2 linked regions of the Alligator mississippiensis genome follow. The main gene of each other region encodes a partner of the protein of the gene in region 2 in a complex. Links are inferred from orthologs where the notes say so. Each region holds a gene or a part of one and is shown on either strand. Other genes may lie near its edges.

Region 1 (7,043 bases), about 11 Mb from region 2:
TCTACTGAAGGGTCATATTTGTGTCCACCGTGCTTTATGCTCGTCCATTGGACACTACCAGGAATAATCAGGACCGTAAGAAATGCCTCTAAAAAAGAAGATGCCCATGAGAGCTCAAAGGAGAGGCTTCCCATTTCCCAGCTGGGGTGCATGTTCTGGTCTCATATTATAGCTGGGCACTCTATGATAGCCTGATGAGGGCTGATGAGACTATCTGGTTTCCAGTCTAGGTTTTGGTGGTCTTCCAGTCACCCATGTCATGCCCTTCCTGCCTGGTTAGCAAGGGATGATTGCATTTAATCCCTGTATACTGTAGTGACTGGGCCCTTCTCCAAGGCTACCCAGGCAGACAGATAGAGGCTGGTCCATACCAGCGGTGTCAGGACAGATGGGACAGCATTCTCCAAAGGGGATCTCAGCATTGGTACAGTCCGAGGTATCATCACAGATGACATCGTCACACAGGATGTTGCCATTGTCGCATACGCAGATCTGGCAGGGCTCGGGTTTCCATACGTCTGTGTTGTTGTACGCTAGTCCATCCTGTATGCAGCTTCCAGTTTGAACTAGGTAGACAATGAGAAAGAAGGGGAACACATCATGAGCAAGAGCTCAATCCATAAGTTGCAGGATAAGAGTAAGCAGGAGGCTACAAGGGTAGTTCTCAAGGCTGATCAGAGTTGGGGACTATTTTTTTCCTTAATCCAAGAGTGTTTTTCTTTTCTCCACAGTTCCAATAACACATCTCTCTTTTCTTTTCCCCCTCATCCTGGAACCCTTGCACACTCATCTGCTTCTCATCAGCTGTGCTCAATGACACAGGAAACATGCCAACCCCACAATAACTCTTTCCACTTACTTTGGAATTTAAACAAAACCTACAGCCAATTGTTAAATCCAACTGTAACTGCAACCTTTTGGAGCCTGAGCCAAGCTAAATAAAAATGTGGATTCTTCTAAAGGGAAGAGGGATGGAGCAGAGGGATGAGGGAAGGCGGAGGCCCAGCTACGAGGGGTTCTGCAGAGGGGAGTGGAATTTATTCTGTAATAGTCAGTTGCTTTGGGAAATTGGATCAAGTGAAAATGACTGGAGTGGGAAGGAAAAACAGCAAGTGTGAACTAGACTAGGGTCGAATGGAAGGCCAGGTGGGCTGGCTAGGCTGAAATAAGATCCAGGATGTGACCCGATCAGGTAGGCTTGGCTAGGCTGATGGGTGGGATGAGGGAAAGGGGAGTGTATCTGAAAAAAACAGATAGATTTCATAATGAGAAGTATGTGGAGGAGGATTTCAAGTAGGCAGGTTATTTTTCATAACATGGAAATATTTTAAACACATTTCATATTTTAAAAACCTCCATGCTCTTTCCCTAGCACTGGCTGCTAAATAGGGACAAATCTATGAAAATCCACACAGCAAAACTACATCTGAAAGGCCAGTTGATCCTATCCTGTTACTCAGCAGTGCCAGCACTTTTTGTGTTCAGTTCATTTTTTAAAAGCCCATAGATTTCTGTGACCGACCAAGCCCCTAAAAGCTAGAACAGGGTTTGCAAGCATAACCTTATCTGTTGATAGGCTGGGGATCCTGGTGGAGGGGCAGTCAGGCTCTTGGTCCCTAGGTGGCAGGCCAAGCCCAAGTAAATCACTGCAGCAGGCGTGAATTAGTGCTATTGCTGTCTGCATTTGAGTGGGGGTGTAAGCCTATCAAGCTGCTGACCCTGAAACTGGAGCCCCTTTGGCAAGTAGTGATTCAGGTTGTGGCCCCCCCATGGGGCTCCAGGGTTACAGGGCAATGGGGTGGAAGGTGTGGGGGGGCTGTGGGAGTAAATCAGGCGATGGCCACCAGAGGTCGCCTGTGGATCCTCCAAGCAACTTCATGCATCCAGTTCCTTAGCATCCAAAAGGTTTTGTCTATGAAGTGATGTCTAGACTTTTGTGCTTTATGGGCTACTAAAACATTTTCCTTATGAATCATCTGAGACTTTTCTAATTCTTTCCTGATGGCTTTTGCAGATCCGAGGACTCCAGCTCTGATTCCCCCTTTCTCCCTCCACCCTCCCTTTCGCTTTTCAAGACCCACCATGGCTTTTCCATAACTTGCTTTCTCTTTTTTCTTTCCCTTGATCCTCCCTCTGGTGACAGCCCCTCCTACAGGCAGACTGTGCTCCTCTCTCTCTTCCCCACCCTCTTTCTGAACTTGGCAAGGAATCTCAGAACTCCTAATTGATCCAAGGCTGCCTGCCCTCAAGGGGCATGTTTAGAAGAGACAGAGCAACTGAACACACCCATCCCCTTCTGCAGCTGGTTAACTTCTGAAAGGGCTGAGTCCTACAGCGGACAGCTTCACTGGGGGAAGCATTCAGTTCAGCAAAGACTTCATTTTTCCACTTCACCTTTTCCGCAATGCATTCTGCCCCCCCTTGCTCCCCCCCAGACCCCAGCTGCTTTGCAAGAGTAGAAAAATTCTTGCTACCTCCTCATTTTAAGGCGCCGAACACATTTTTTTCCTCTCCCTCTGCCTTGGTAGACATTCCAAACACAGTTTCCTAGCCATAACTGCATGCAATATACATACATTCGTGTATGTATATATATATATATATATATATATATATCCAGCAATTCCCATCCTATTCTTACAAAGGGCTGAAGTTCGCAACCACACTCAAGAACATTGACAAGAGTTTTTGTTTTTCTGCAAACTTTGCATCCGGCTTGCTCTGAAGCGCATTTCACATTCTAGCTCCAAACCCACCCAAAGCAGCACTTGCCTGTATACATCAACAGCAACTTTTAAACAGAAAATGCCTCTAAGCAATAATACCAAGATTTATGTCTAGTAAAGGAAGCTTGTACTTACTGTCTTCTTCTCCTTGACCTTTGGTGAGTAGTACAGTCGCTGCTATCAACAGCAGTAACCGAGAATCCACAAAGCTGAACATGTCTAAATATTAGACATGTAGACTCTTTGGGCCCCTTTGTTCTTTTAGAGTCCGGTCATACAGGGAGGATCTGACTATGTAGTTCCAATCCGGACCCCAGCAGAAACTTCCTACTGACTTTCCAAGGCTTAGGTTCGCTTTTTATATGATCCAGCATCCCAGAGAGGTGGATCCCATCCCAGCTTGTTTCTCAGTGCAGAGGGGATCTTGGACCAGCCCCTCAGCCAATCAGAGGAGCCCAGCTAACAGTCCCAGGCAAAAAAAAAAAATAGTTGGGAGGCTATAGCCAACCCCCTTTGTATTCAGTCACAAGGGTATGGACCAGTCTATGTGGCTTTGGATCCTCTGTGTTGGCAGTGCAGGTTGCATGTACAGTAGGGATGTGGTAGGTTCTTAATGATATTGAAAGAGAAGAATCAGGGAGGAAAATTCTTTGAGCAAGGGGGAGAAGTGTGCTTTGCTGTTGCATAGTTAAGAGGCTGGGCTGAGCAGTTGTTTGTTAGGAGGGAAGCTTTCCTGCATGGAAAACAATTGTGTGCTGCTTCACCAGGTGGAATGCACTTCTTCTTAGGTGATCCAAAGATTCACCAGGGAAGCGAGGCATTGAAGAAGCTCACTTTTCAGCTTGCATTTCTCAAAATGTATAGAAAAAAACTTTTGGGGGAGTTTGCAAATATTTCCAAGATCAGGTGGGTGGGGGGAAATCCAGATCCCAGCATTGCTGCCTGTTGCTGTGGCTTTATCTTGGAAACCTTCCTTGTTTTGTTTTTAGAAATAATAACTGCGCTTTGTTAATTTTAAGTAAAGGCACACAAAAAAGGCTTTAATTTTTTTTTGTCCAATGGCAATGTTCTTCTTGTTAAAATGTGCTGATGGCAGAAGAGAATAGGTTTTGAAAGGGTCTAGGAGGAAGGGAAATGAAGAGAGGAGGAGAAATAGAATCACTGGAAAAGTTCTGTAATGTCACAGAAGCAAGCGTGGCAGGGTAATGTCTTTAACATGCAGAAGGGAAATGCACAGGGGACTCTAGACAGCAGCAATAGGATTTTTCATCACTCCACACTATGTGCATGAGTATGTGTTCATTAATATAGAAAAATAACAATTAAATGGTCCTGTAGCTATATGCCTACACACACACAAATATGCATACACACACACAAATATATCTATTGCAAATAAGCATGTTTGCATGCATCCGCCACACAGTAATGCAATATACAGCTCCATGTATTGTTATGAAAAAGCAGAAGTAGTGAGTCACTCAAAGCCTCAACAATTGCGCTTCTTTCGACAGAATGGAGGTTTCCATGGGCTGTAAAAGTCTCTGATTTCTGCCTTCATGTTCTCACCCTGCTTTGCAAATCAAAGTCAATTAAAAACCCACTAAACTTCCACATGGCTTTTCAGAGGTGTGAATCTGGAAGTTACCAAGCAAAAGGAGATACCATGCCATCTCCATTCCGAGGCAATGCTGCTTAATAATAAAATCTTCAAACTTTAGCTTCATTTCCTGAAATACTGCAGGAGGATTTTTGAATTCGCTGTACAAAATGCTGCAAAGAGCATTTTCTTTCTTTTTTTTCCATTTCTCTCTTTCTTTCTCCTTCATTCTTTCCTGCTTTCTTGCCTCCTTGGCAGAGATCCACAGCTGTTTCTACGTTTGAAGAGCCACGTTGGTTGGAAAAAGAAAAAGCACCCTGACAATAACACACAATATACCATACAATTTTTGGAGGTTATAATTACACACAAAAATATATATATTTACCAGGCAATGGCAGACGGCAGTATCTTTAGTACAAAGAAGGAAAAGAAAATATTTATTGCACAGGATTCTTTGTAGGTTATCTAGACAATGTGGCATTAGGGTGTTTTTTATTTGGTTTTTGTTTTCTTTTAGTGAGAGTGTGAAGTCAAATGTGCCTTTAGTCATGGAAGAAGACTGTACTACAGGTCCTCTATCTGCATAAATCATGGTAGTTGATGGAGCTAAGCCTCTTTATACCACGATCTACCTCTGTCTACATTATCAGTGCTGGAGGGGTCATATTCTTCTGACCTAACTGTCTTTGGTCCTACTACTTTGTTGGAAACACTCACACACAAACCTTGGTGCCTGCTTCCAGTAGTGTCAGTAAAAACACTTCCATTGGTGTTGGACATCCAAGATCAAGGTTTATGTTAATAAAGGGTGGCAGAGTCTAATGCCTGGCAGCCCACATTTCTTTACATGTCTTACTATTGCTTTCAGAGATAATAGGAGCAGAGGAAGTGAGCTCAGCTGGTGTACCCCAAGAGAGCTCCATCTGAGTCAATGGGCAAACCTCAAGTTGGCATAACCCAACAGGGCTCCACTGGAGTCAGTGGGCCATGTGGCCAGTTGGTGTAAATCTACAGCAATGAGCATCAGTTGTGGATCTAGCCCACAATAGATAGTCTACCCTAGCCCATCAGATTCCTCTTCAATGGGGTGGTTTCAGTTTGACTCAGATCTTGGAGTCAGGCGATCAAGGAGCGGCAGTGTGTGACAGTGATTCTATATGGGTGCATAGGGGTTTCAGATGCGACCTGATTAGAATGAAGGGGAGAGGCTCTGACATGACAATCACTTTCTATCAGTGCAAATAATGAGCCCAATCACTTTGTATAGGTGCAAATAATGAGCCCTAGTGTAGGCCTGCCGATAATAAGGCCCCTCTACGGCTCTGTAAATAAGATCGCTAACTCTACAACGTCTAAAATGCCCTGAACCTCCTCACACCTTCAGGCTGGATGATGGCTGGAACTCATGAGTGGCAGCTCCAGAAGCTTTGTATTTTTTTAAGATGTGTGTGTTCTCTTCCTCCCCTCCAAAAAAATGGGACACGTCGAAATTGGGACAAGGAAGAATCATATGGCGACCTCTACTATTTTTTTTTAGGGCTGCAATTAAATGCAAAGAAAGCTCCACCAAAAGTAGCTATCTATCTGTACTGGGTTTTTCAACACACACACAGGCGCACACACCAAAATATCTGGCCAGCTTTCAACCCTGTATCTATGCGCCCAAGACACGTTGCAAGAGAAATCTCCTCCAATCACATCTTCTGAAACTTGAAAAAGCTGGCTGCCTTCCAGGTTGAAGATGTGTCTTTAATTTTTGCAGCATGACAGAAAAGAAAAGAATGTCATCTTTTTTTATATATATGTAAAGAGAGAAATGGTTGGGGGAAGGAGTAGAAAGGAGAGGAGAAGACGCCACCTCATCATTGGAGTTAGCAGTTGAGGCCATTTCAGGAATGCCATGGTTTTGCTGAGAGTGAGAGCAGGGGAGGGCGGGAAGGGGGTGGGTAGGAACAGAATGAGGGAAAGAAGGAAAAGAAATCCGCTCTCCCCCCAAAACTGCTAAAGCCATTAGGATCTTAGAAGAAAAAAAGCAGAGAGACAGAATAAATAGAAGGGAAAGAGCAACATCAAGCTGGTTTCAGTCTGATGCAAAGGGGGGCTCCAACTTGGAACAAGGACATTTTAGTCCTGTCATCTCAGCAGCACCTTCAGGCCTGACCCTTCCACAAGCCCACTAGAATCATTTCACAGGGTGATATGGGGCCCAGGCTTTCTAATGGGCTCTGTGCTTTGGGCTGGGCTGCTTTGGAAATCTGCTGCCCTGGTGGCTGCTGGAATCAAGGGCTGGTGAGAAACCAATTAACTGATGTAGGCACCTTGCTGGGAGCAGTGTTCTTTAGAGAATCCAGACCCTGGCTATGAGACTAGGCACCTGGGAATTTGGCCTCAGCTCTTGGGAAAACACATTCCTTGGTGCCATGGCTTTCTTTGGTGCTCTGCAGCTACAGAGTTATTTCAGGTGTGAATTTGCCCTGTTTGTGCCCTAGAGGACTATATGGCACCAGGAGACAGCTCCAATTGGGGCATCTCATTAGTGGCACCCTTTGAAATGTGGTCAGCAAACTCCCTCACCCCGTGCTTGGAAGGGATGAATCTGCTGTCACTGCTAAAACCAAGACATTCAGCAATGCAGAGAAGAGGGACAGGGGGTTAGGTCTGGGCATAAGAGATGCCATTTGCTGGTCAGCCTGTTTCATGGAGTCTTCTAGTGC
Region 2 (7,654 bases):
TGAGGTCTGGTTTTTTGTCCTGTTTGGAAGGGAGAAGAGTTACTTGTCAAAAGTACTCTGCCACTATAATAGATTTTTGGGCAGAAGTGTCCAAGACCTTGTGTCATACATAATTAAAGGCTGGAGTCACTGGTAGGCTCCGGATGGTTCGGCCAAAAGACAGCAATAAACTATCTTATCAGTTAAGATAGGTTTATGACTGCTTTGCATCACCAGACCAGTACAAAGCAGTCATAGCAAGCCAAAAATAAACATCTGATCAGCCAAACTTCACTGTTATCCCAAACCAGGTCACATTGCCCAGCATCTGGTAAACTTAAAATCTCTTGTTATCCAAACTTACTCTTGTGTTCCCTCATACACTTAGCTGATACTAGAAGTGTATCCTCAGCATTGAAGATATGAATGGTCATAAACTGGTATTAATTACTCCAACCTGGTATTAATTACTCCAGCCTTACAGACACGTATGGGAAGTTCAAGTGCAAATTATGGAGGAAGTAAATATGTAATCAATAAAAATTTAAAATTTGTTTTAAAAACATGTTGACAGCAAAAAGCTCTGAAACAAAGATGAAAGTTATAGGTGATACAATAAATGAAAAAGTAGAGAAGAGACAGTTCCAAGTCAAACTTTGCAGGTCTGAACTTTCCTCCTGGTAATTATGAACTGCGACAGCTCATTATAAAGAAGAGGCTGGCTCCAAAATTAAGGTTCAGATTCATTCTTCCCTAGAGATGACTGATGCTTGGGTGCAGCATTCTGGTAGTGGCCCATCTTTAATCAAAAGCATCTGTTAAAGCCTAGGGCCAAATCTTTGTCAATCAGCATAAATCCATTATTGACTTTAATGCCACATTATGCCAACTGTGAACTTGGTCCATCATCTATAATACCATTTGATTTTTCATTTACTTGGCCTCACAATCCATTCCACATTCGTCATTAAAGACTTACGTTCAGGCTTGCTTTCACAGTTAAAGCCTCTGGATCCCCCATAGCAGGTACAGACCAGTGTGTTTCCCAGGTAAATGCGTTCCCATTGCTGGTTTATTTGATAGTGTCGGCCATTGTCAAAACAGCCCTCTGAAGGAATGAAAACATAAGTCTTCAGTTTACATTTGTCTCCATGCACATGACCCTCAAACAAAAAGGGGAAAGAGTTAAAGCATTCAGTGGCATATACCCAAGGTCCTGGACCTGCCCCTAATGTGGCAACTGGAGTTTGAGATTTGCAGAGAAAGCAAGATGGAGCACTGAATTTGAAACCTTGTGGGCACTCTGCTCTGAATGAAATACTCCAGAAACTGCATGGGTGGGTTTGAAGCAGAGATTTAACAGGCTTCAAATCTACAGATGGAAAATACTACTCCTCCAGGGCCCGATCCAAAGCGCCAATGGAATCTATGGAAAGACCTCAATTGCCTTCATTGGTCTTTGGAGCAAGTCCCGGTCCATCGCTGCTAGTCGGAATTGTTCCCCAGGTAACGCTGCCAAGAACTTTGTCAGTACGCCTCTTAACGTGGCAAGCAACGGGCCTCCACCACTTCCCCTGAGAGAGCAGCTCCCAGCCTACTGGATTGCAATGCCAGGAAGTTTGTCCTTGATAATCAGGCTACATTTTCCCAACCAATTTGAAAGGTGATAAGGGCAATTGTTTCACCAAACATCTCCTTCCCCCGCAACATAATTGCTTGCAGAAAATTGGTCTAATAAAAGATATCACATCTACCCAAAGAACCTGGCAAAAAGAAGTGCATTAGTGTTTTTGCTTCACTGTGTTTAACTCTTTCATTGCACTGTGTAATCAAACACACATTGTTTTGAGATGAAGGGGTCTGATGCTAACCCAGCTGAAGAGCTCTTTAGTTTACAGGGTTGTTGGTTGTAGCCGTGTTGGTCTGAGGGCATAGGCAGGCAAGGTTCTTTGGGTAGATGTGATAGCTTTTATTAGAGCAGCTAGTTGGTCTAAGAAGAGATGTCACATCTACCCAAAGAACCTTGCCTGTCTTTAATTTACAGGCATGTGGCAGGCAAGCTCCCTTCCTGCTGCCTCTAACCAGCTTCCACTCCCATGTCTTCATAGGGAAGTGGCATTTTTGCCCATCAAAACTCACGCAGCCAGATCCTTACACGAGTGTCAGGCTAGGCGACTACTCGGCACTACAAAGATGCTGCAACTTGCTCACTTTGGAGGGGGAAGGAGGACATTCTTCTCTCTCTCTGCCAAGCATGCCAAGCAAAGCCCATCAGAGTACCAAACTTTTGGCCGAGCTCCATCGCAGGCTTCAACCGCCCACAAGACCAGGCAAGTCAAACCAGATCCCTTTCAGCCCCCCTTCCTACAGGACCTGCTCCCAGGACTGCACTTGGGTTTCATAGGATCACAGAAAGTGAGGGCTGGAAAGGACCTCAGGGTCATATCTAGTCCAACCCCCTGCTCAAAGCAGGACCAGCCCCAACTAGATCATCCCAGCCAAGGCTTTGTCTAGCTGGGTTTTGAAAACCTCCAAGGATGGAGCATCCACCACCTCTCTGGGTAACCTGCTCCAGTGTTTTATTACCAGCCTAGTGAGCAAATTCTCCCTAATATCCAACCTAAACTTCCCTTGCTGCAACTTGAGACCGCTGCTCCTTGCTCTGTGTTTCCCAACTCCCTGCCAGCTGTGGCAGGGCTCTTGGGGACTGTCCCCTGCCCCCTCCCCCGGTACTCACGTTTGCTCTGCGTGCCGGGCACCGGGGGCTGGACAACTTGCTGGGCTTGCCTCCTGCTTTTGGCCGCCGTGCGCTCCGTGCAGCGCGCCCCTAGGCACAGGGCGAAGAGCAGCAGCAGCAGCAGCCGCTGCCCCGCGGGGCTGCTGGGCATCCTGCAGAGGTGGGGGAGAGAGACGGGCAGAAGCGGAGCAGCGGCTCTGCACTTCGCTGCAACTTTCCCGGGGTGGCTGCGGGGAGTGCCGTGCCCCGCTCCTCCCTGCCTGGCGAGAGCGGCCGAGCGCCGGCCCGCGGGGGTTGATATAACCCCGGCGGCGGGAGCGGGGCCGAGCGGAGGCACTGCACGAGCCCGCGCCCCCCTTCCCGCTCCCGCACCTATTTGCCTGTTCTAATTCCAGCGGCTCCCATTGGTCCCGGCGCGCGCTGACGTCACGGGGCTGAGCGTTCCGCGGCGAACAAAAGCGACCGCTGCAAACTTCGCTCAAGTTGTGTGAGGCGCGGACGGGACCTGAAGCAGGGCGAGCTGACGCGGCCCGTGGCCCCCGGCTTGGAGGGGGAAAACCGGTCACGGGCTGCTCGGGTCTGCCTCCCCGAGAGGCCCAGGCAATACATGGCCTTTGATGCCTTTAGATGCTTCTCCGTTTCGCCGCCAGTCAGGCTAAAGCAAAGAAAAGGCGGGTGTCGAACGCTATGAATATCCCGAGGCTGCCAGAAGCACTCTCACAATGGTATTGCAAAAAATACCGCACAAAATATTGCGGGGAAAAAAACCCCAAAAAACAACCCAATAAAGCCTTTTCTCTTGAGTAAAGACTCAACAGCCCTGAAGTCGATGGGATTAGGGAAGAAAATCTTGGTTTTGTTTGTTTTGGGGGAGGTTTGTTTTCCCTTCTGTGAAGAGAGGGAGTAGGAGGAGAATATTAACTAACAATGGGTATTAATTCACACTGTTTTAGGTCATGATCCGTTCCCCCCATAGTATAATTGTCCCCCCACAGGTCTTTGGATCCCTGTCAGCATGAACGCCTTGTGCCTCCAGAGGCTGGGGGGTCCCAGCGACAGCCTGCAGGCAGCGGTGTCAGTGGCAGGGGCATGGCGGCAGCCAGCGAGGACCGCCTGCAGGTGGCCGCAGTGACGTTGGCAGCGAGGGCTGGCCGAGCAGGGACCGCCAGCAGGTGGCCGTGGCGGTGTCAGCAGCAATGGGGGGTAGCAAGCAGCAACCGCCCGCAGACACCACTGCCAGTGACCGCCTGCAGACACCAGCGGCAATGTTGGTGGTGGTCAATCTCAGGGGGTCGCGTGCACCTGCGTGTACCCCTTATGCGTTGCCAATGCCCGTCAGGACTCTGAGCATCCTTCTTTATTTTCCTTGCTTCCCAAAAATTCATAAAGAAAAGATCTTGCTTTATGATCATGATTCTCTTCACTAGTCACCAAAACCAGTGGTTCTCAATGTTTTTTGTACCAGGGCCCATTTGTAAACATTGATGTCCAGCCCTGACACACAGACCCCTGACCCTGCCAGTGCCCCTCACTCCCAACCCCCCCAGCCCCAGCCCTGCTGGTGCCCCTCACTCCCCACCCAGTGCCCACCACCCCCAGGCACAAGGCCCCACCAGTGTGTGGGGCAGGGGATGAGTGTGTGGGGGGGGCATATGGGTGGGTGGGTACATGACCCCCCAGATTTGTGCACTTAATGGACACGGAGCTGCAGCCCAACAGATGCAGCAGCCTCCGCAACCCAGTGCTGGACTTGATACAGGAGGGCAGAGTAGGGCGGCGAGACTCATTACTGCCACTGCCACCAGAGCTACACACCATCCACGCTGCCACCAGTGTGAGGAGTCATAGATCGGAAGCAGGCCTGCACTGCCTTCACCTTCTCCTGCCCCCAGCCGCTCATGCGCCGGCCTGTGGCTCTACCCTACTGTTATGGCCCAACTGCACTGCCGCTCCCCTCAAGCCATGGCTCCACCCCAGAGAGAAGGTGGGGTGGCAGGCAGTGTTGCCTGTGCCCCCTGTCCCCGACACGTCATCTATGCCCCCCTAGACTTCCCTGTGGGGAGCTGCTCTCCACACTGCTTGGCTGCTATGTGCATGTGTGTATGTGCACCTGCGCATGGTGCCCCCTGCCTGATCACCCTGTTCCTGCTCCCCTCAGCCCCTTCCAGGCTGGAACTCTGCCAGGCTGCAAGGAGAAACCCATGGTTTCCCACATCATTCTCATTTAAAGGAGAATACATTTTTAAAGTTTGTTGAAAAAATTCTTTAAAATTTGTTTGTGACCCACTTCTGGGTTGTGACCCATGGGTTGAGAAACGCTGACCTAGACATAACCTCGGTGGTGTCACTCCTCAAAAGAGAAGTTATTACCAATCAAGCACTCCCCCATTCTGACATAACTTCAGTGGCATCACTCCTCAAAAAGAGAAGTTATTACCAATGAAAGCACTCCCCCATTCTCTCCTCCACAGCTTTTGTTGGAAAATATCCCATGATGTCAGAAGGTAGCAGGGAAAGCCTCATGGCTAAGATGTTAATTGCACTCAAAGTAGTCCCTTCCACTCACCTTTAGGGTACATCCATGTGGAATTTGGAGAAGTCAGTGTCATGTGGGTGAGAGTACTTGTTTTAATCTAGCTACCTTAAGTAACAATAGTAGTGAAAATGGAAGTCTGCACGTAAGCCTGGGCTGCTAAGATAATATGAAAGACTTTCTAATGCTGGGGGTTGAGAAGTGTAACTGTGTTCAGATCCACTCTTCAGCTGGAAGCCAAAACAATTAGGCTCTGTAGGACATCTGTAGGCATTCTAGGGAGATAAAAATCTACACCCCGAAGCTAGAAGCATACCTCCTTCAGTTTACAGCTCCTTGCAGTTTACAGCTTTCATGCTGGCCCAAAGATGCATTGTCTAGTGTTCCACTTATGAATGTGGAGTGTTCATGGTCAATGGATTCCCATCAGCATGGCTACCTATCCTGTTCTGGCTAGTCCACGTTCAATACCTTCTTTGTTTGTCTATATAAGAAACCAGATGTGGTCATTCCACCTACAGCTGTGCTGCAGCCCCAAAATGGCACTTGAAGTGGCCCATCAAGGCACGGATGAATTTCCTCTGGGATGATGGACAGCAAGATGCCACATAACAATTTTGCCTGTATGTCTTCTCTATGAATTGGTTTGGGAGCTATTGCTGCGTGTCATAAAAATTCTTAGCTGAGAGATGATAAACCACCAGGCTAGTCTGGTTCCTGATTGAGTAGGTCGGGTCCTGACATGCATGGACACATGTTTTCCCAGACCTACTGCTGAATTCTGAATGATACCAGTGAGAGTTCTTCAGGGAAACAAAGGATATTGAAATATAAATCTAGTTCAAGGGTTCTCAACCTCTAGCCATGGGCCAGATCCAGGCATCAGCCCATATAATTCAGCCTGTGGGGCACCCTAAATCCCTGTCACAGTGTGTGGAGCCAAGCAGAAGCCCATGGGGACCTGTGTCTCCAATCCCAGCATGTAGAGGTGGCACAAGGCCCCAGTCTCAAGTGTGCAAAGCTGAGTGGAGGTGGTGCATAGCCCCGGGGCCCAATCCCAATGTGTAGGGGCAACACAGGGTCCAGTCCAGTCTACTGACCACCTGATGCCACTCATCTGGCCTGTGGGACCAAAAGATTGAGTGTCGTTGGTCTAGTTCTATTCACTAAAACTCCTTATCAAGTTTTTTTCTGTTGGCATCGCAATATTGTCTCTAGGTCCCAGCTGGGATCAGGGTCCCATTGTAGTATGAACTGTACAGGTATATAAGAAGTTATTGTCTCAGGAAAGCACATTTGCAAATCTCCTTACTTTGCCATTTAAAAACATAGTTGTGTCCATTACCCAGAAGTCTTATCTGCCTGAAGATTGGCAGCAGGAACTTGACCTGGCAGTTAAGGTGAGCTGGGATCAGCTTAGTCATGGCATGAGAAAGGTGAACTGTGATCCTTCTCCATCTCTAATTTTAGATGTAAGCTATCCAAGGTACCAGCTCCCTCCCATTCAATGTGCACACAGAACTGGTGTGGCTGTATCCAGAGAGGAACTTAATCTTGTAACAGGTGCAAATCTCTGCAAAGCAGTGAACATCTGGTTCTACTATACTTACAATATACATTCATTTTTAAAAATGGGTCCCCATATTTAAGATGTTGTATACTGTTTTACCCAGGAATTAATTGTAGATGCTGAATTGGAATCCTCCGATGAGAGAGATTCTGGGTATGTATTCCTGGGTTACAATGCTCTAAACTGATTGTTTGTAATAGGAATATATCTTTCTCAGACATTTGGAATAGATCCTCTTGCTGAGTTGGTATCAAGTGAGGAAAAGAAGGACTTGTCAATTTGGAAAATCCACATATGCAATGGGATATCATGTCTAGCTTATCTGTACTACACTAGCACCTAGAAGCTCTACTTAAGAATTAGGATGTGCTTGTGCCAGGTACTAGAGACAAAAAAGCAAAAATGACCTGCTCCAGCAAGTCTACAGGTTATGTTAAGTGTGTCAGGGAGACTGAAAGCATGTTTTCCAAGAAGCCTAGAAATGTTTAAGAAAGCTTTTCTGTGTAGGTGTTTGTAATGATGATAATGGGGGCACAAGATGAATCCTCTTGCTGTTGCCAAGAATTGCTAATAGGGTTCCATATAATATAGTGGAAGAGAATTAGGGAGTGTGGGGGTGGGTGTGTACACACGCCAGAGAGCGAGATTTCATCTGTCAGTAAGGAGATGAGGAGTCTTAGTAGAATGCAGAAAAATATCTGAGGCTACACCTTTACTGTGCTGCCTCTGTCAGCAGACAACACTGCCAGAGCACGTGCACACCCTTGCGCTTCTGATGGCTCCTTTTAGCTTTGTTATACCAGCGATGCTGCCAGCGCAAAGTTTAGCATTGGAG

What was found. The genes of interacting proteins can lie anywhere in the genome.
Region 1: the proteins of FN1 (region 2) and COL1A1 are in contact, whole or in part, in a crystal structure (PDB 3GXE), measured with the Homo sapiens proteins. The link is inferred for Alligator mississippiensis from reciprocal best matches to the Homo sapiens genes FN1 and COL1A1. Residues at the interface, in NP_997647.2 of Homo sapiens: Asp516, Gln517, Lys533, His535, Glu537, His539, Leu541, Gly549, Arg550, Gly551, Arg552, Trp553, Lys554, Cys555, Pro557, Gln560, Phe569; in NP_000079.2 of Homo sapiens: Leu261, Pro262, Gly263, Met264, Lys265, Gly266, His267, Arg268.

What each region holds. Positions count from the first base shown.
Region 1 is NC_081827.1:169,758,680-169,765,722, forward strand, and holds the start of COL1A1 (collagen alpha-1(I) chain), read right to left. Parts: upstream 3,066-7,043; 5' UTR 2,944-3,065; coding exon 2,862-2,943; intron 567-2,861; coding exon 372-566; exon of another isoform or gene 1-371. UniProt on the Homo sapiens protein: Type I collagen is a member of group I collagen (fibrillar forming collagen).
Region 2 is NC_081827.1:181,041,751-181,049,404, forward strand, and holds the start of FN1 (fibronectin), read right to left. Parts: upstream 3,026-7,654; 5' UTR 2,868-3,025; coding exon 2,717-2,867; intron 1,088-2,716; coding exon 959-1,087; intron 1-958. UniProt on the Homo sapiens protein: Fibronectins bind cell surfaces and various compounds including collagen, fibrin, heparin, DNA, and actin. Fibronectins are involved in cell adhesion, cell motility, opsonization, wound healing, and maintenance of cell shape.